4 linked regions of the Drosophila melanogaster genome follow. The protein of the gene in region 1 interacts with the protein of each later gene in a pairwise test. Each region holds a gene or a part of one and is shown in the gene's direction. Other genes may lie near its edges. The genes, in order: Pdha, Pabp2, dmrt93B and fd59A.

Region 1 (5,240 bases):
TTTTACAATGTGTCTTGGTTACTTAAGACTAACAGATTTTTAATCCTAAAAAAGATAGGGAGAATTATAATAGTTGATATAACATAGTAATTATTATTTATTTGATTATTCTAATGAATTTTAAAACTAAGACTTTCTAGGTCAAAACCAGGTTAGGGAGGTCATGAGGGTGGTGTGCAAGCAGTAATAAAACAAAAAGGCGGAGAAAGTCGAAAGCAAAAGCAAAGACAAAATAAATAATTATCATCTTGTCGTTTATATAAGTGTGTGCTATGTGTTTCTCCGAATCGGATTTATGTTATATAAAACAGAAGAACAGTAACAATTTAAAGGCAAATTTCAAGGAATGAAAGCGAACAGTAATAAGAAACAAGGAAACCAAAAAGTAAATATATATATTCATGCAAGAAATACAAAATAAAGTAAACATTGGTGTAAATTAAGCAAGAACCTAAGTAAAACCTACTAAAAACAACCAAAAAAAATAAGAAGCTTAATACGTAATTTCCTGAAAACAACAGAAGACATATGCAGAAATCACACACATTTACCGTTACTTTTCACACACATACAGCACCTCTCTCTCTTTAGCTATTGCGTTTTAGATTATTGCTCAGCACGTTTTTGCGTAGACACAAAACTATTTATGCTAACGGTAAGATAGAACCTCCTCTCTCTCTCTCACCCACACACACACACACCTCCCCCACTTACACACACACAAGCACTCGCAAAAACAAGAAGACGAAGAGAAAAACTAAATTTTTTTCTTATAATCGGAATGCCGGATTTCTAACGGGAAAGGAAACAAAAACACAACAGGACTTCTAATAAGTGTTTATACATACAAATATATATATATATACATGTACATGTATACATATGAAACAAAACAAAAAACAAAGCAAAGCATAATTTTTTGTCATAATGCAAAATATTTGTGTGAGAAACCAATTTTTGATGTAACAGAAAAACGCGCGAAAAATTGAATATGTGTAACGGTAACAGAGCAAAAGATAGATAAAAGAAAGTAAAAAATTTATTTCATTCGCTTAGTTTTTCCCAAACGATCGATCCATTTCCTCATTTTCCGTTAGTAACTTTTAAACTCAAATCTTTTAGCTGCCATTTCTAAAGCAAAAAAAAAAAAATGAAACAACAAACCGAGAAACCAACAAATACAAAAACTAGTTTAAAATCTTAGTTTGTAAAGCGTTTATTTGAATTTAACTGTTTAATTCTACTTTACCTATTTCTATTTAACTGGTTTTTTGTGCAAGGAACAAACATTACTTAAGTTTTTGTAAGAGATTAGTGAATTATGTGAGCTGAGTGCGATATAGAGCAGTATTGCAATTGCAACTGCAATCGCAAATGTGGATTTATGGAGGCAATTTCAAGTAACAATACGAGTAAGAAATGAGAAAGCAAACAAAAACCAAATGAGATCTTCAATGTGAAATAAAAGTACTTCTTTGAAAACCCTCGTTTTATTTGGGCGGCAAAGTAATATAAAATGTGATTGAGTAAGTATTTATTCGAGTATTTCAATAACCGCCAAACACTACTATTATTTTGATATAACATTGTGTGACACATTATATAAAAGCTTATTGAATATTTTACGTAAACATTTATATTTCAAGTTATATTGAAAAAGAAAGTTCGATAAGCTAATTTAGTATTTTTTGAAAACAGGGAAAGCTGCAGTATTTTATTTAGGGTCACACTAATAGGCCAAGTGGTGCGTTATTTTTCGCTATAACGCCAAACGGTTGTTATAGTTGTGCAATATAGTAGTTGATAAACTAATCTCGCTACCTTTTTTTCCGATTGTTTAACTTACAACGACGCGCGGCGGTGCGACTGAGACACCAGATATATAGCGTGCGATTCTAGATCCGGACAATCCGCATATAGAAAGCCCCCATTCACATCCAATTTCTGTCAGTCGAACGAGAATAACACAGCGAAAATGTTGCGTACTCTGTCACGCGTTAGCGAATTGCCCATTATTGTTAAGCAACTGCAAAAAGTACGTAATCCCAATCCCGCTTTGCACCCACTAACATTTCTAATTGTTGTCACTAAAAATGCAATTGAACAAATCCATTCGATAATGAAAACACTAAAAGCGTTGCCATAACAACAACAACAACAACATCATCATCAGCGGATGTCGGATACTTAGCAACAACAACAACAACAGCAGCATCGATATCATCAGGAATGGGAGATATTCATCGTCGTTTTTCGGTTTATTCCAGAATGCAGCCCAAGCAGGTGTTTCGAAAACCAACAATTATGCCACGGAGGCCACCGTTCAAGTGAATCGGGTGCGTATTATAGCATTAAGTACTTGTAACTCAGGAAAATTCAAAAGTCGGAAGGGAAAAAATACGGTTACATAATGCGATTTTCGCCAGATAGCAAACGGTTTGCGTGTGTGTGTGTGTGTGTGTAAGTGCAGGGTTGCATTTTGCCGGTCAATCCGCTCATTTTCAAATGACAAGGTCACGCAGTAATTTGTAGTTTTCCGTCTCCCACGCTCTTTATCACCGTCTGCCTTTTGCGTGGCCGACGCGTGACTGTTCACGCACCATATAACATATAGTCTTATCAACGATCCGCCGATTTTCACCCTCTCTCTCTTTCTCTCCGTCTGTCTGTCTGGCTCTCTGTTTACGTCGATTCTCACGCCATAAATTAGCCGCCATAAATCCAAATTTGGTTTTTGGAGCATACTTCCGAAAATCCTCGATATGTGGTTATAGCTCTCTATAGATTAGTATACTTTGATTAGAGAAGCTTGAAGCCTATGGTTATTTGGTTTATCCAATCAAACTGCTATCATTTTATTACTTATCATGCGTTCCAAACGTTTCCGTTACGTTCTTATCAGATGTGTGTGTCAGTTGTTAATGTAAAAGTAGAAAACGTTTTTAAAATTAATGAAGTTTAGGGATCTAAATTCTAAATATGCTTTCCAACTTTGCAGCCCTTCAAGCTGCACCGCCTGGACGAAGGACCCGCCACGGAAGTGAAGCTGACCAAGGATCAGGCCCTCAAGTACTACACACAGATGCAGACGATCCGTCGGTTGGAGACGGCCGCCGGTAATCTGTACAAGGAGAAGATCATTCGCGGCTTCTGTCATCTGTATTCCGGCCAGGAGGCATGCGCCGTTGGCATGAAGGCGGCGATGCGGGATGTGGACAACATCATCTCGGCGTACCGTGTCCACGGATGGACCTACCTGATGGGCGTCTCACCCAGCGGCGTACTGGCTGAGCTCACCGGTGTCCAGGGTGGCTGTGCCCGCGGCAAGGGTGGCTCCATGCACATGTACGCACCGAACTTCTACGGAGGCAATGGCATCGTGGGTGCTCAAGTTCCTTTGGGTGCCGGCGTTGGCTTGGCCTGCAAGTACAAGGGCAATGGCGGCATGTGCCTGGCCCTCTACGGTGATGGTGCCGCCAATCAAGGACAGGTGTTCGAGGCTTACAACATGGCCTACCTGTGGAAACTGCCTGTGATCTTTGTCTGCGAGAACAACAACTACGGTGAGTGCTGTAGAAAGTGGAACAATGCTAAAAGATATTTACTTAAACCAAATGTTGTATAATTATACCCATTAGGAATGGGCACCAGTTCTGAGCGTGCTTCCTGCAACACTGATTACTATACCCGCGGCGACGCTCTGCCCGGAATCTGGGTGGACGGCATGGATGTGCTGGCCGTGCGCAGCGCCACCGAGTTCGCCATCAACTATGTGAACACTCACGGACCTTTGGTGATGGAGACGAACACGTACCGATACTCTGGACACTCCATGTCCGATCCGGGCACATCGTACCGCACACGCGAGGAGATCCAGGAGGTGCGCCAGAAGCGTGATCCCATCACCTCCTTCAAGGAGCTGTGCATCGAGCTGGGTCTGATTACCACCGATGAAGTTAAGGTGGGTTTGGCTTATAGGGTTTTATTTTTGTTATGAGTTATGATTGCTAAAAGAAAAAAACATCTTCCAGGCCATCGATCTGAAGGTACGCAAGGAGGTCGACGAGGCCACCGCCTTCGCCAAGTCCGATGCCGAGCTGGGCGTGAGCCACCTCTGGACGGACGTGTACTCCAACAATCTGGAGCCCAAGCTGCGCGGCACCATCGCCTACGATATTGATCACATCCAGGAGCGCAAGGGCGTCAATCACTAAGTCATCGGGCCAACGAATCTGATTCGGGAACTCACAAGAACCTTAAACGAAACAAGAAAACCGAACAGCAAACACAAATCACTGACAGACAGACAAGAAGACACAATAACTCAGAAACTTGGACACAAGCGAAATCTCTAGATCATAAGCCGAAAGTTGAACGATGAGAACCCCGTAGAACGGAACGGATCCGAAGAGACCCACAAAAAGCTTAGCTAATCGGAGCACTCCAACCACACATCGTAGCGCACCACATAACTCTGGGGTACTGCATTGGATATTATATTGCGAACGTGTTCAATAAGGATAAAGCGAGGTGTAAATTGTTGAAAATATAAAAATCTAGAAAAATTAATCCAAATTAGTTTTCTTAACAAAAGTGAATCAAGTATGTACTTTTGAAATGTGAAAATCTCAGTCTGTTTCACCTATACTTGCACTATAGAATTTTGATAGATTTATAAGATATTAATAAACGGAATAGATTTAATAGATAATTCGATTTGTGGAAGAATTACAGTTCGAATCAAAGTAGTATTTGAAAAGGAGCAGTTGTCAGCTCCATAAGCAATCCCAAAATCGTTATATTTCCTTCTCGTTCTGTTTAGTGACAGTTGCCATCTCTGTCGATTTGCTTATGATTTTACTGTCGATTTCTTTTCGGTTGAGTACAAATCCATTTTTCAACAATTTCCGATCATATTCAAAATTTTAGTGCGTGGCAATTGCCCATTTGGCTACAAGCTCATTTTAGTGCCCCGGTGTTTGGGAATTGGTATTCGGGCAAGGGCCAATGATGAAGTTCAGTTGTGTCCGCGTGGCGATGAGATGCAGTGGAGCCCACTCCATCCTCGAGAGAAATATGCTCTGCAGGATAATAGGGCGCCACAAATGTAGCTGTTTGACCCTGGAGAACGTAAGTGTTTTGATTATCACAAGAAGGTCAATGGATAAGTAAATACCATTGAAAAAAGCTATATCGTAAAAGTTATATTTTTCATTTTGAATTAAATTATGTACTCTGAA
Region 2 (5,493 bases), on another chromosome or scaffold:
TTTTACAAGAACAAAATATCAATCAACTCCTTGAGCGATCTTGCAGTCAAAGGAGCTCGCAAATAAAGAAAAAATCACACAAATGTATATGTATATTCAGGAGGGGAGATTTTGCTGTTTAATGTCCTCCTCTTCGCCCTCCAGCTCTACATGGTCATACATGCGATAGGCTTTGAACTGGCCCAGCTTGACACCATCCACGTAAAAGAAGCTGAGAAAACATCTGCGGCACAGGTAGGAGGGATCGTGCAGCTGTCGCCGGGACTGGTTCACGATGAAGCTATAGCTGCGAATGCCGCACATATAGCAAGTCCTGCGATTAAACGTACTGAAGGCGTGAGGATAGGGATACAGGCTGCGATCTGGCCGTTTACTAAGTGGCGTTAGCACCTCTACCTGGGAGATCACAAACAGGTGTTCGCAATTGCCGTGGTGCAGGTAGTGTAGCGGTGATCCGGGGCTGACAGTGAGATCGATGAATCTTTTGCCCTCCATACTCTCCACCTTAAGCGTTTCTCCGTTCACTCCGTTCGCTCTGGCAGCCCACTGCAAGACGGTCTTGGAATAGTCGGGATTGTCCGGATTGCGCTGGTCGTTGTAGAATGTGTCGTTGATGAAGAAGTAACCGGGATTTGTGTCAATGGATGGCAACGGTGCATCTGGATCGTCGCTGATGTCGACAAACCGTTTTCCATTGCAAACGCAGCTGATCTTGTCCCGCAGCTCGGTCAGATAATTGCTGCCCAGACATACGAACTCCTCGGCGAAAACGGGAATCTCCACCTTAAACCCGCGATGGTAGGCCCGCGGTGGTCGATATAGACGCACGGTTAGCTCCAGTTCGCCGCAAGCATCGATGTGCAGGTTAGGCGAGTCTGTCGGCGTCGGATTCAGTTTGTGGCTGTACTGGGTGCGGCCAAAGGGACACTTACGGGACTTGTCCTTGTGCTGGCTTAGAGCAGTAAAAGTGGAGGGCACATGCTGGTTCTCCTGCGGCGGAGAAAAGGTTGGGCGGCATTTGTCTGCGGCGGGCTGGAAGACTGCAATCGAGCTGTCGTCTGGGGACTCGATCAAGTCCAGGGAACAGCTTTCAGACACGTCGACAAGTACTGGGTTTTTTTGGAGAAAGAAGGGCACTTCGTCTGCAGTACCGGATATTTTCTTTTGATAGTCGGCTAGAAAGTCTCGCAGGCTTAAAGCTGGATTCGTTGTAATATAGGTGGTATCCATGGTACTAAGAGGTATGTCTTGAAAGAGTGTTTTTTGTTCAGGATTAGACTCAGTTCTCCACACTCAATGATCTTCTCCAAACTTGTTAATAGCCTCCTTGTAAGTTATATTTAGCTTCAGAGATTCTGGCTTTGGCTCGGTCTGATCGTCCTCTTCAGTCTCAGCCGACTTCTCCACCTCCTGGTGCAAATTGTCCACGTAGACCCTTTCAAAAGATATCACCTTGGTGGATTTGTCCACGTACTGGTACCGCTGGCGACACACTGACTCAAAAAGCGGATCACTTGCCAGATTGTCTTTTTCCTTCTCAAAGAACACGTTGGTTCCCACGGAATGTTCGTAGCGTCCCCGATAAATGCTTCCATTTACCTCGGCCATGGGCGTGTCACTCTCGATTCCGATGATCTTAATGGCCGCGTCCTCGTGCTTCAGCTGGTGCGGATGAATGTGGTTCTTGAAATCCGCAAATACCAGGTACTCTGTGTCCTCGTACTCCGAATCGGAGGAATCGTTCATGTTCTCCTTTTATCGTTATGCATGGGCCCTGATTGATGGTTGAATGATGGCGTTATTTCGCAATATATGACTTCCTTAAACAATAATTTGTCTGATTCCCATTTACAAAACCTTGTTAGAAATGTGCGTGCACATTCCTCTTCTTTCCTTCCTATGGTAAATTTAAAATGGCATTGTGGTGTGAAAATACTATTATTTTTATCATCCAAAGAACTGCTTTCTTAAATACCGGCAGTTATCGATAGGTAAACCCACCACCAAACCATCGAAACTATCGAGGCGAAAACTGTCATCGGTAAAAACGAGGCGAACACAAATCTGTTTCAATTTGTGTCAAAAACTACGTACGTTTTCGTATAGTTGTAAATATTAGTAAATAATAAATAAATAAGCTTATAAATAAATATTTATGCTGACGTGGTGTGGCGCGAAACAAAGTCGAAAAGGGTTTAAAAACGTAGACTTTTGAACGAAAAACAGCAACCCAGCAACCCAGCGTACGTGTGTTTTCACAGGGCAGCCATTTTGGGCGAACTCAACGTCAGCAGAACGAGCTCGTAATTTGTACATTTATTAAACGTAAGTACAGTGTGTTTAATTAAATATCAGTGTAGTAGTGCGAACGCAGTGAAACCTAGACATTTCGGTGTCCGCAGCCTGAATTTATTTACTTATGGCTTGGATTTTCACTGCATTTGCATGATGAACTCTTCATTCGCGCTCTTAATGTTTTACGCTCTTTATGCTCACTTTCGCCGCCCTTTTCTCATTGACAGCTACCATACATACATAGTTACGACAACTGCCGTTTTGAGTACCACGCCGGAAGCTTTTGCGCCAACAAAACCGAGCTTTTGTAGCAGACGTAAACAAACCCAAATCCAAAGCAATGGCCGATGAAGATATCACATTGAACGAGGATCAGCTCCTGGAGTCATTGGAGGAGACGAACGGGGAGCAAGAGACTGAGATCGCCACAGAGGTCGAGGTGAGTTGGGGTTGCCCTTGTAGACAGTGCCCAAGAACCAGTTTCTTGGCCTCACGCCTTGCGAAAGCCCGCCGAATTCCCTGGAAAAGCTCGCAAAGCTTTGGGGGATATACAAAGCCGAAAACCGCAGCAATGGCTGCCATTTTCAGAGCGTCACTTCGCACCGCCACTCCATTCCATTGTCTGCTGTGGTTTCGGGCGTTTGCTCATCGCTCCAAATCAAATACCACTAAATTTCATATTTTCCTCGTCGCCAGGAGGAGGGCAGCATGCAAATCGACCCGGAACTGGAGGCCATAAAGGCTCGAGTCAAGGAGATGGAAGAGGAGGCCGAGAAGATAAAGCAGATGCAGTCGGAGGTGGACAAACAAATGGCCGGTGGGTCTACCACCGGCTTGGCCACAGTCCCGCTTTCTCTTGAGGAGAAGCAGGAAATCGACACGCGGTCCGTCTACGTGGGCAATGTGGACTACGGCGCATCGGCCGAGGAACTGGAGGCCCACTTCCACGGATGCGGCACAATCAACCGAGTAACCATACTCTGCAACAAGGCTGACGGGCACCCCAAGGGATTCGCATACATTGAGTTTGGTTCCAAGGAGTTTGTCGAGACGGCATTGGCCATGAACGAAACCCTCTTCCGAGGGCGTCAAATAAAGGTGAGTATCTGAAGCACTTTTTGCTAGTCCTGCTACCTATCAAACTCTCATGTACATATGTGGATAGAATGAGTCCTAGGGACTCCTACGTAGCGCAATTTTGAAAGCACATATTTAGAGTTGACTTTAGCTTAATCTATTGACTTTCAGGTAATGTCGAAGCGCACAAACCGCCCTGGACTCTCCACCACAAACCGTTTCGCACGCGGCAGCTTCCGGGGTCGAGGAGCCCGTGTCTCCCGGGCGTGCTGTCACTCCACCTTCCGAGGCGCCCGAAGAGCTATGTAAGTGGGCTCTGGAAAATCCCGATTGGATCGAGCTAATCCCGGTCTGTCTTTCGTTCCAGAAGGGGTTACCGTGGTCGCGCCAATTACTACGCTCCTTACTGATTATTGTTTTATTAAAATCCCTAGTAAGGTAAGTTGACAATTTCGAACTGAAAATAATTGATAGTTGAAATTTTATATGTGTGGGTTGCGTCCGATTTATGTCGGTTACATAAAGTAATCCGATATCTATCTCTTATATTTTGATACATTTTTTTTCTTAAAATTTATAAAACCAATGAGGACGTCTTTTTATGTTAAATTTAAGTTGTTAGAAAATGCCGTTTGTTTTTATGGAGCTAAATAGATTTAGTTTGCATAGCTGGTAGATCATTACGGGAAATAAAAACAATCAAATTTATGGTCAAAAACAGAATAATTTTCCGAACCCTTTATGGGAATACCTTGCTCTCATTCGCAGCGTGTTGGGTTTTATTATAATGCTTCCATTCGATTTACCGACTGTCGTCTTTAATCCATTAACTATTTGATTTCAGATTTTTTTACAATATAATTTCAAAAAACATTATTTTATTGCCAAACTTCTTTGCTAAATAAAAAAGAGAAAACAATCGCAACAGAAAACGCCAGAAAAAATATCGTTTCAATAAAAAATGCATCAGCAGCAAGAAAACAGGCGAAAAGAAGAGACCTCGAAAATAATAAAAAATCAACAAGGAAAACGAATATCTTGACTTGGCTATAATGTTTTTTGAAGCACCCAACACCAAACACCCCCTTTTCACACATTTTAATTTTCAATAAAACATCAAAAAAAAAAAAAAGATTATGAAAAACAAGAAGTTGATTTAAAAAACAAAAAAGTATATACAACAATAAGTATATATAAAAGAAGCGCAAAAGAAACCACAAACCCCAAATAAAAGAAGTTAAAAGATGGCAAAAGCAAATAAAGAAGGAAGAAAATATAAAAAAAAAATCAAAAGAACACAAGACTCTTGGGAAAGAAGTAAATCAACAAAATATATAAAAAGTGCGTGTGTAATTTATATATTTAAAAAAAAAATATATAGAGTAAAGAGAAGATAAGAAAAGAAGTTGAATTTACTAAAGCGAAAAAGATGAAGACAAATATAATCGAATTAAATAAGCTATCAATGCCTTTCCTTTGGGCGGGACAAGGTTTTTTGGGATTGAGGATGCGAGTAACAGCTTGATTCCTGCCACCACCAGCAGCCCTACCTCTCTTCCAGCCCTCAGAAATATTGTGAATAATAAAAAGAACATTCTTCATTCAAAAGCACTATTATATGGTTTTATTTCAATCGTAGGATTGCAGAGCCTGAGCGGATTTCAACTCGAAAATGCCGCGTTGCTTGCGTGTTGATTGATCTTTCGCTTCTAGAATTGATGTGGAACTGCGCTGAACTCCTAGTTCTTCTGGACGGCGGCCTGCACGAGGGGCAGGTTCTTGCCAAGGAAACACTTGAAGCCACGGAAGGCCCATTCGTTGGCGGGCGACTTCTGCTCGTTCTTGTCGGCGCACTTCTCGATGTCGGCCTTCAGCGCGGCCTTGTCCTCCTTGCCCTGGCCCAGTTGCGCCACCAGGTTCTCCACCTTGAAGCCCTTGGCCTCATCGAACAGGTCGAATTTGACGAAGATGCACTGGATGTAGTTGCGGGTGATGTCATCGTCGGGATAGTCGAAGGTCTTGTACTTGGCGATCAGGGCCTCGGTCACCTTGCTGCTGGCGGCACACTCCTTGCGCGCGCTCTGCAGATCCTCGGCGGTGCGCAGCTTGTAGTCGGAGGCA
Region 3 (5,199 bases), on another chromosome or scaffold:
CAGGTGGAAACAAAAAGCAAACCGGTTCCCATACATCTCATCAAAGCGCCATAAACGAAATGTGATTATTTATAGAAGATGGGCTTGATTGAAGGAGCAGGCTGGCTCTCGAGTGGGCTGATAAGCGTGGTGGCATAATTGAGTGCGGACCGGACACTGCCCTGAATCAGAATCACGTGCCGCATTCCCGGGAATGATCCGGTCCGATAGTGGAATCCAGATCGGCCTACCGCCGTTTATGGCGGTTGTATAACTTTATAGTAGCGCGACTGGAGCGCTCCCTAATTGAATTTGTTCGAGGCCATGTGCTGGCCGAGTGTCATGTACTTATTATCTATCTATGCATCTATCTATCTGGCAGATATCACGGGGATCTGGAGCATACGCACCTCTGACAACGTCGCCCTTATCGCCGCCGACGAAGGTACCATCGCTGTTGATTTGCACGGCGGCGATGTACTTGGCCACCGCCTCCACTGTGGACTTCTCGATGCGCCCGGCCTCGTGAAGTGTGTTCAGCAGAAAGGAGAGCGTGAAGAGCGAGTGCATCCGCACGCCGTGCTTGGCGATGTTGGCCACTCCGCCCTGCTCACGGTCTACGACGACCACGGCGTCGGTGACCACAATGCCCTCGCCTTGCAGATCCCGCACCGTGTCCAGGATGCTGGAGCCGGAGGTGACCACGTCCTCGACAATCAGACAGGTGTCGCCAGCATTGAAGATGCCCTCGACCAGCTTCTTGGTGCCGTACGCCTTGGCCTCCTTGCGCCGCACCAGCATGGGAGTTCCCTGCTGCACGGACACAATGGTGGCCAGCGGGAGCGCCGTGTAGGGAACACCGCACACGTGTTTGGCGCTCAGCTGCTTGTCCTTGATGTGTTCCACCAGCAGGTCGGATACGGTTTGCTGCGGGAAGACCAAGTTAGCTACTGCCATTGACATGGAGCACTAATCCCAAATACTGACCATCACATCCGGATAACTGACGATCACTCGGAGGTCGAAGTAGACCGGCGAATTTATGCCCACTTTCATCTTGAAGTCGCCGAACTTGAAGGCATTGATCTCGAAGAGCTTCAGGGCCAGGGCCCGCATTTTGTCGGAGTTCTGGGCAACCATGCTGGCAATTCTAAATCTCGATCTTAATTCTTCACACACGTGCTAGCTAGGCTCCAATAAGAACCGTCCAATTGGGAGTCTACGCTTTTTAAACATGCTGCCAGTGTGCACGTATCTGCTGTGACATTGGGGCACATTTCGAACACCCTAATTAAGGTACAAGTTCTGGTTGCGCCGCCTGGGTGGTTAACTTCGCTATGCCGCCAAACTTATCGAAGTTCAAATTATTATAAATGTCGTAGATTTTATCAACATTGGCTTCGAATTAATAAACGTTTATTATTAGTTATAGGGTAACAAAGTAGCATAAGTGTTAAGGTTTTGAAATAAACTATTTTGCATGTGAAATATTTCCCAAATTCATAAAATATATAACCTTTAGTTTCTGAGAAGTCTTAAGAAATTTCAAGGAAATGAATGGATGGATTATATACAATATTTTGTCCGCTGCATTGCTGTATTGTTCACTACTTAGCATTTGTAATCTGAAAGCTTTGGCTCCGCCCACAAACCCTTGACTGCAACTTCAAGGGGAGGAGTCTAGTCATTTTGCAACCACCAATGACAGTCCTGTAAGCTCATATTGCAAAATGAAAGCCAAAGCGCCTGCGTAAGTCAACAAAGTTTGCGCCATTCATTGAAACAATTCCAGATCCTTTGGCGCGTGTTTCCAAAATTTAGTTTCTTTTCGCTGGTCTCCAAATAAGTCGCAAATTTGTGCTCCAAAAGCGGCAACTTCTTAGTCGAAAAATCGGTTTTCTCTCAATCCATTTCTCGCCTGCGTTGCGATGGCCAGTTCAAGTGGTGAACCTGCTGATGAAGTGGCTAATAAGCGTCCTCGTCTTGTGGCTAATCCCAAGGCCACCAAAATAGTTGAACCCACACCGGCCAAGGTCACCAATCGGGTGCCCAAGTGCGCCCGCTGCCGGAACCATGGGATCATTTCAGAGCTGCGGGGTCACAAGAAGCTCTGCACCTACAAGAACTGCAAGTGCGCCAAGTGTGTCCTGATCTTTGAGAGGCAGCGGATCATGGCCGCTCAGGTAAGTTAGGATTTATATGCACGATGACAAGCAATCCTTTCTGCTTAATTGGCAATCATTGACATTACTATCCTCATTTTATGATTACTGCCCACTTGCTAACTTTAATGTCATCTATCCTGGATGGTAAAATCGCTATCCCAAAAATAGCTTTTTAAAAATTCGGTGCATTCGAATACAGAAAATTGCCTGGTTAGATCCATCCATAGACATCCAAACCATCCAGACCAGATATATTGCTCTAACATTCGGAGACTTTATTCCCAGTCCTTTAGAAAATTTCTTCTTGTAAAAACATATTCCCTTTATTAGCATTTACTTAAAATGACATATCAAATATTCTCAAAAGCCAAAAGTTTTCTAAAATAACTTCAGGATATTAATGTATAAATGTATAAGCATAAACGTAATTGTGTTTCATGTTGTATTGTTCGCAATGGATTCCGTGATCGATTTTTACTAGGTATAACTTTGAAACCCAATTTAAGCCTTTCGATTATAATTTAACTTGATTAATGTCACTGTTATATTTATAATTTACTAACCTGGGACGACAAACAAAAACACCTATTAGCAAGGGGAGCTTAAATTAACAATAGCACCGAAAACTCCGACATTTTCTTATATCGTGTTTTGTGACTTTGAATAACATTTTGGAAACATTAATTATTTTGGATTTCTGCGAAAATTGTTTTTTACAAATGATGTAAAAGAACTGTTAATAGGAAATACCTTTCCAACATATAGCACGTTTAACTTAAGTCGTTCAAAAATGGTGTGCGCGGAATATATAGCTGATCCAAACATCTTAGGAGACTTTCAATAACACGGTTTATTATAGTAGCAAATGCAATAGAATATAGATTATTATGTCCATATATTATATTGGAATGCAGATTATATTCCAGCCTGCCGTCGCTGTAATTCCAACACACAAGTTCAGAATCAACTCAATTCAAGAATAATTCAACAATTCAACATAGAAGGTGGATAGTTTTCCCAGCTATTTGTATCTGGCACATAATATGTAAGCCACCCCATCCGGATTCAATCAATCTGTGTAACTGAATTCAATTGCCAGCTTTCTTGGAAAAATAGTTAGCAATGCCATTTATATTGTGTTTAGATTAAGCGCTGGCCAAGTTCTCAATTCGAAACACAAATAGCCGATGGACACACCCCACTCCAGTGCCAAGTCAAACAGCCAATGAAACGGAATACGGGGAACAACTCCAAGCAGAACAAGGACAACCAGTCCTCCCCTTTAGACGATGACGATGATGGTGATGATGGAAAGTTGTCAAGGCGTAGGAACAAATCGACCAAAATATCCGCTTACCGAAACTGTTTGCACAAGTGTGTCTACGTCTCGCATTTCATTAGATCGCTGTGGATGAGCTAGGATGTGCTAGGATGTACTAGGATGTGCTAGGATGTGGGTGATACCCCAAGGAATTGCTGTGGCCTTTGTTTGCGGTTAAGTCAAACAGCAGCAAACGGACCAAGATGTTCACTTGTCGCATATTAATTTCCATTTGTGGGCTTTCAGGTTGCCCTGAAGCGCCAGCAGGCGGTGGAGGATGCGATTGCCATGCGGCTGGTGGCCAACAAGACGGGTCGTTCCATCGATGCACTGCCGCCAGGCAACATCTTCGGTCTGACCGTCACGCAGCCTAGTTCGCCGCGTGCCAAGCGGGAGGATGATCAGGTGGAGAAGACCATTTCGGAGGTGGAGCAGCAGCATTTGAAGCAGAGGGAGGAGGAGTACAGCGAATCGCCGGCGGTGGCGCAGGATCTCAGTGCTCCCCGAAGAGATAACGTCTCCCAAACGGCCATTGACATGCTTGCCCAGCTCTTTCCGCAGCGTAAGCGATCTGTCCTGGAGTTGGTCCTCAAGCGCTGCGATCTCGATCTGATTCGGGCCATTGAGAATGTCTCGCCCACTGGCAAGTCCTCGCCAGTGGATGTCACCAGCAACCAGTTGCCCAGCCAGGAGCCGGGCATGTTGACCACTATGCCACAGCCCGCGCCGCCCAGGAGCAGCGCCTTTAGGCCCGTGATAACAGATCAGGTAAGCGACCTAACTGCATAGTGCAAATTGTATAAAGTACCTTTTAGTTATAAGTGTACTTAAGTGAATATACCGGTTATTTCTATAGTATTATATTCTATAGTATACAGCAAATCTGTAACAGGTGTTTTGTGTTTTTACTTAAGTTCAACGGTCTGTATTTCCGCTTCCAGAATTCAATCAAGTCACGATTTGCGTGGTCCATGGAAGTAGGAAGTACCTAATGAAATATTTATTTAAGTACATACAAAATCTTACCTTTCAGTACCAGAGCAAATCGGTGGTGGAGCTAAAGCCGCCGGTCTTTGGAGGCAGTGCATCAGCGGCGGCGGCAGCGGCCATTTGTGCGTACCCCAAGTGGTTTGTGCCGCTATCCTTTCCGGTGACCATGGGTCACCTCTCCAATCTGGCGCCAAGATGCACCTTGCCCAATTGCGCCTGCTTGGACAGCTACCAGTTCCACTAGGAGACCACCCATCTAGTACTTACTAACTCGCATAACTATAGTTCTAATAAAATAAATTTATTTATCCTAACTACAAGCTAAACTAACTTATGAGTCAATGGGCCATCCTCTAGCTTCACTTGGGCGTCTCATCCGCCTCGCCTTCGTCTTCGTCGTCGTCCTCATCGTCCTCGGACAGATACATCCGATCCTCCTCGTCGCTTTGTTGGCCACACCTGCTTCCGCTGCCAAGATTCAACACGGGAACACTGCTGCTCGAGGCGCTGGAGGGTGATCCCACGGCAGCGCCTGCTATGGGTCCTTGGGCGGATGCACTGCGCTTGCTGAGATTGGCTCGTCGCCACTTGGCGCGCCGGTTCTGAAACCAGGTCTTCACCTGGCGGTCGGTCAGCTTGAGTTGGAGGGCCAGATGACGCCGTTCCTCCGGCGACAGGTACTTGGAGCTGGCGAAGCGAGCCTCGAGATTTTTGGTCTGCTGGGAGGTGAATCTGATCTGGCCG
Region 4 (4,629 bases), on another chromosome or scaffold:
TCTGAATTCGAAGATGGCGGCCCTTATTGTATTCGTGTCTGTTTCCATGCATCTGTGTGTGTGAGTGAGTGTTTGGTTGTGTGTGGGTAACTTCCGCAAAACTGGAAAACTAATTTGAACAAAGTACAACAAATAAAAGTGACTACTGAATGTTTAATTTGAAAAGGGAAGGCTCCAAACACTGAATGGCGAACAACAACAATGGCTACAACAACAATGTCTAACAACTGGAGAACAAAAACAGCGAAAATGAAAAAGAGAAATAGTACAAAACTCACTTGGATACAAGTACAAATGCAGCAAACACATGTACGTCCAACCCCCTCCCGTCCCACCCACTCTACTGCTCTCTCTCTCTCACTCTAGTAGCCCCCATTGTGCTCGGAGGATGTTGGTGAAAATGGTGCATTTGATTCCATCTCACTTCCACACCCAAATAAAATATACAGAAAAAAAACCAATATTATCTATATTAGATGTATTGTATATTGTATGTATTGTTTTAAAATTATATTTTATTTCGGTTTTTTCGCATTGCTAAAATGACATAACTGTTCTATGCATTTTTTTTTTTTTTAAATGTATTTAATAATAATACATTGTATTATATACATATTTCAGTTAATCGTTCTTAGAATAACCAACAAAATATATCCTATGAAAATAAATACAATTCTACTTATCTAACTGCAAAGAAAAGTCCCTATAACTTCGTTACTTAACTTAAGTAAGATTTGTGGAATTTGGACTTTACATAATTAAACACATAATTAGATTCTTTTCTTTTTTTTCTTTCTGTGCATAGGGACAGAGGGCTGGGAATGAGATTGCGAGCCCGAGAGAAACCAAGAAACGTCGACATACGGTTAGAAAAACATTCGCACATAAAAATGCCAACATTTGAAGCATAACATTTGGGGCAGAGGAGCAGAGTGGTGGTTGGCAGGGCGAGTGCGAGGACGAGGGAGGGCCGCAGGGGAAAAGGACGCCTGCCTCCATGTGGCTGACATAATGAAACATTATTAAGAGCCACGACGTCAAAGCGGCAAAAGGTATCTAAATTTGCGCAAAATGTTTATCCCCCCCACCGCCGCGTTCGTTGGCTTCTGCAGTCGCTGCCAATTTGCCGCCGCTTGGAGAGAGGAAAACACAAATATCGCATTTACAGCCAGGGCTCTCCACCATTTTGTGAGGACTTGCAGCGAGTGGGAGAGGGATGGCACGAGCTAGTTCGCATAGATTGGTTCGCAGGATATCAACCCATCCCCCGCTAGAAAGAGAGGCTTGGCCGGGCTCTCTTGCTCTCTCTCCCTCTGCTGCGATGCTGTCGGGGCGCAGCCAGGATGCTGCCAGGATGCCGTCAGGATGCTCTGCCCGCGCCAACGGCGACGTCGGCAGTAGAATCACAGTTATTCGAGATACGAAAACACAGCAACGGCGACACAAAAGCTCAGGGAAACGTCAGCGGCAGCGGCAATGGCAGCGGTTTTTCATAAATAAATGTTTGAGTTATGTAGAAAAACATTTTGGGCGAGAAGATTTTCGTTTTCGTTGCGATTCAGTTAACATTTGGCCAGCGGATTCCGCCTTCAACGGACGCGACGACGGACTAGGCGCTAGCCAACTTTCCACTTTCCACACCACTGCTGGCCATATGTACAGTTTATCCTAGCAGCTAAACCGGAAACGACGGTAACAGCGAACGGTTAACGGAAGCGGAAATAGAAAAGAAAATATCAAATTCCAAGTTGAATCGAAAAGCATATGCAAATGCCAAGTGAAGCAAGTGAAACGCCAAAACGAACACAGTTCCTGAGCAAAATAGTTAAATAACAGTGTTGCGTCCTCTAAATTTAGTGAGTCCAATTCGCGGACTCAAATAGACTACAGTGTATACCCGCTAAGACATGCACACCAGCACGGATCCCATGCACACATTGCACGACAGCGTCTCCCTCTCGCCGCCGCTCATCAAAAGCTCCAGAGGCGGCTCCTCCATCGGCAACGGAATCGGATGCAGTGCGTCCTCGCGCACTGCCGCCGCAGATGCCATGTCCATGGGCTGCGACGACAGCGACATCGAGCCGTCGTCCATGGGCGGAAGTGGTGCCGCCGGCGGCAACGGAGACGGCTCGGGATCTTCGGGTGGTCCCCTGGTAAAGCCACCATACTCCTACATAGCTCTAATCACCATGGCCATTCTTCAGTCACCGCACAAGAAGCTCACGCTCAGCGGGATCTGCGATTTCATCATGTCGCGGTGAGTTTGCCAGCAAAGTTAATATCCTTAAATGAAGAAGCAATAGTTTGATTTTTTCCAAGTTATCTTAAAACATCAGAAAAAGAGAATAAAAGTAGTAGTTTGTAAAGACGATAAAAATAAATAAATCCTATAAAATTTCAATTGAAAACATAGAAAAGAAGAGACATTCAGTGCTTTAATCGATTTCAAAAATTATAAATTTTAAAATGTGATATTTTATTTACTGATTGCAATGTAAGTGATCTAGATAAACAACCAAATTCTTTAAAAAAAATTCCTCGAAAAAATGTTAAATAACTTGTGCATTTTACTTGTAGCTTTCCATACTACAAGGACAAATTCCCCGCCTGGCAGAACTCCATCCGGCACAATCTCAGCCTGAACGACTGCTTCATAAAGGTGCCCCGCGAGCCGGGAAATCCCGGAAAGGGCAACTTCTGGACGCTGGACCCGCTGGCGGAGGACATGTTCGACAACGGCAGTTTCCTGCGCCGGCGGAAGCGCTACAAACGGGCGCCCACCATGCAACGCTTCTCGTTTCCGGCGGTCTTTGGCACGCTGTCTCCATTTTGGATACGCAAGCCCGTGCCCCTCGTGCCAGTGCATTTCAACGTGCCCAACTTCAATGGGAGCAGGGAGTTCGACGTGGTCCACAATCCGGCGGATGTCTTTGACTCAGCGCTGCGAGCGGACAAGAAGTTTAACTTCTTTGCGAATGCCGAAGCATCCTTCTACCAGGGAAGTCAGTCGGGGGACAAGTTCGACCGGCTGCCCTTCATGAATCGCGGTCGAGGAGCGGATGTCCTGGATGCACTACCGCACAGCAGTGGCTCCGGCGGAGGAGTGGGCGGGGGATCCGAGAGCAGCCGTGGCTCCAAGTACAAAAGCCCATACGCCTTCGATGTGGCGACTGTGGCCAGTGCTGCGGGCATTCCCGGCCACAGGGATTACGCAGAACGACTGTCCGCCGGCGGTGGTTACATGGATCTCAATGTGTACAATGACGATGCGGACACAGAGGCCGATGCGGAAGCCGAGGGAGATGACGACTCATGCGAGGACAAGATCGACGTGGAGAGCGGCAATGAGCAGGAGGACTCACATATCTCGGACTCGGTGGACAGCGCCTGTACAAATCGCCTGGATGCGCCGCCGGAAGCGTTGATCTTTGAGGCTTCTGCCGAGGCGTCCGATTCAAGTCCAAGGAGACGCTTCGATAGCGAGCCCCTGGTTCTGCGGACCAGCAAACAGAGCAGCGCCAAGGACTTTCGCATCGAGACGCTGATTGGCCACCACCTGCATCGCGGTGGCAGCCAGGAGGAGACCAGCGACTAGGCGGGATTCCCACTCGCTTGAACCAATTGGCTTGTGTACAGTCCATTGAACGGTGATTTCAGTTTCGATCTAAGCACGTTTTAACAGCCCACTAACACCACCACCAGCAATCCCCAGGAATCCAATCCGAGCAGCAAGTAGTGATCAGTAGGTGTATCCGTAGGATGTAGGAGCCAGCACACGAGTTTTTAAATGCGACCAAATCGAAGTCAACGCTATAGTTGCCAGTCCACTTACGTACTAAACATATATCTGCGCGTAATATCTATGTAAATCTGAAGCATCGCACGTCTATAGTATACTTTTAACACGAATTCTTGGGGTCTGGAGTCGGGATTTCAGGTTCTAGACCTATATCTACCATGCAAGTACTAATCATGTGTATGTGTGTGCGTGTGCGTCTGCGTGTAACTGTAACACATCCAAGCAAGAGGAACACTATTAACTATAAATTAGACTAAGATTTTTGCTGATGTTATTGAAAATTGAATAAACAACAACATAATAATAGTTTACACGGATACATGTTTGACTGGTAGGTACCGATATACGTGTTGTTACTACAGCTACTACAGCATGTTACTAATATGTTTGTAGTATACTAAATATTAATTTTTAATCCTATTGATACCTGTAATATTGTATTATTTTTATAATTATATTATTATATGTGGCCACTCTCTTCCTTGTAATAATATCCTTAAAGGGATCCCTCTTTTCGACGTTTTGTTACCTTTTGTTTGCAATAAAACACCCCGAGTTATTTGAATTTACCGCCCAGCAAACCTGTCCAGGTGTGGCACCCCTGCCTGGAAATCAGTTCAGCTTTAGCGCCTGCGCAGTGACCATCGCTCAGCTGATTTGGCGCAGGACGTAGTTGTGCCGCCATAGAACGCCGTGGAGTTCGGCGCTACCAAACGAAAGCTCCGCTCTCCCACGAGCGTCCCGTTGGCTTCCAGTGTTAAAACATGAAAAGCTGCGCCTGGCAGCGGGACAACAGTGTGCCGCCGAAGATACCAACACCAACTATT

Evidence for each region.
Region 2: the proteins of Pdha (region 1) and Pabp2 interact in a two-hybrid assay, tested with the Drosophila melanogaster proteins (one large-scale study listed by BioGRID).
Region 3: the proteins of Pdha (region 1) and dmrt93B interact in a two-hybrid assay, tested with the Drosophila melanogaster proteins (one large-scale study listed by BioGRID).
Region 4: the proteins of Pdha (region 1) and fd59A interact in a two-hybrid assay, tested with the Drosophila melanogaster proteins (one large-scale study listed by BioGRID).

Annotation. Positions count from the first base shown.
Region 1 is NC_004354.4:4,700,557-4,705,796, forward strand, and holds Pdha (pyruvate dehydrogenase E1 alpha subunit), read left to right. Parts: upstream 1-1,768; 5' UTR 1,769-1,975; coding exon 1,976-2,035; exon of another isoform or gene 2,036-2,135; coding exon 2,136-2,336; intron 2,337-2,998; coding exon 2,999-3,563; intron 3,564-3,638; coding exon 3,639-3,961; intron 3,962-4,031; coding exon 4,032-4,214; 3' UTR 4,215-4,709; downstream 4,710-5,240. Other genes in the region: CG7024 (uncharacterized protein), read left to right, coding at 5,008-5,130.
Region 2 is NT_033778.4:8,129,399-8,134,891, forward strand, and holds Pabp2 (Pabp2), read left to right. Parts: upstream 1-2,032; 5' UTR 2,033-2,325; intron 2,326-2,522; 5' UTR 2,523-2,635; coding exon 2,636-2,734; intron 2,735-2,991; coding exon 2,992-3,393; intron 3,394-3,543; coding exon 3,544-3,677; intron 3,678-3,742; coding exon 3,743-3,782; 3' UTR 3,783-3,810; exon of another isoform or gene 3,811-4,079; intron 4,080-4,216; 3' UTR 4,217-4,976; downstream 4,977-5,493. Other genes in the region: Pbp49 (PSEA-binding protein 49kD), read right to left, coding at 97-1,230; CG42516 (uncharacterized protein), read right to left, coding at 1,294-1,746; Obp44a (Odorant-binding protein 44a), read right to left, coding at 5,112-5,493. UniProt on the Drosophila melanogaster protein: Involved in the 3'-end formation of mRNA precursors (pre-mRNA) by the addition of a poly(A) tail of 200-250 nt to the upstream cleavage product.
Region 3 is NT_033777.3:21,072,100-21,077,298, forward strand, and holds dmrt93B (doublesex-Mab related 93B), read left to right. Parts: upstream 1-1,907; coding exon 1,908-2,162; intron 2,163-3,711; coding exon 3,712-4,233; intron 4,234-4,498; coding exon 4,499-4,699; downstream 4,700-5,199. Other genes in the region: r-l (rudimentary-like), read right to left, coding at 390-906, 967-1,119; HHEX (hematopoietically expressed homeobox), read right to left, coding at 4,815-5,199.
Region 4 is NT_033778.4:22,866,595-22,871,223, forward strand, and holds fd59A (forkhead domain 59A), read left to right. Parts: upstream 1-1,564; 5' UTR 1,565-1,907; coding exon 1,908-2,260; intron 2,261-2,580; coding exon 2,581-3,598; 3' UTR 3,599-4,112; downstream 4,113-4,629. UniProt on the Drosophila melanogaster protein: Involved in development during embryogenesis.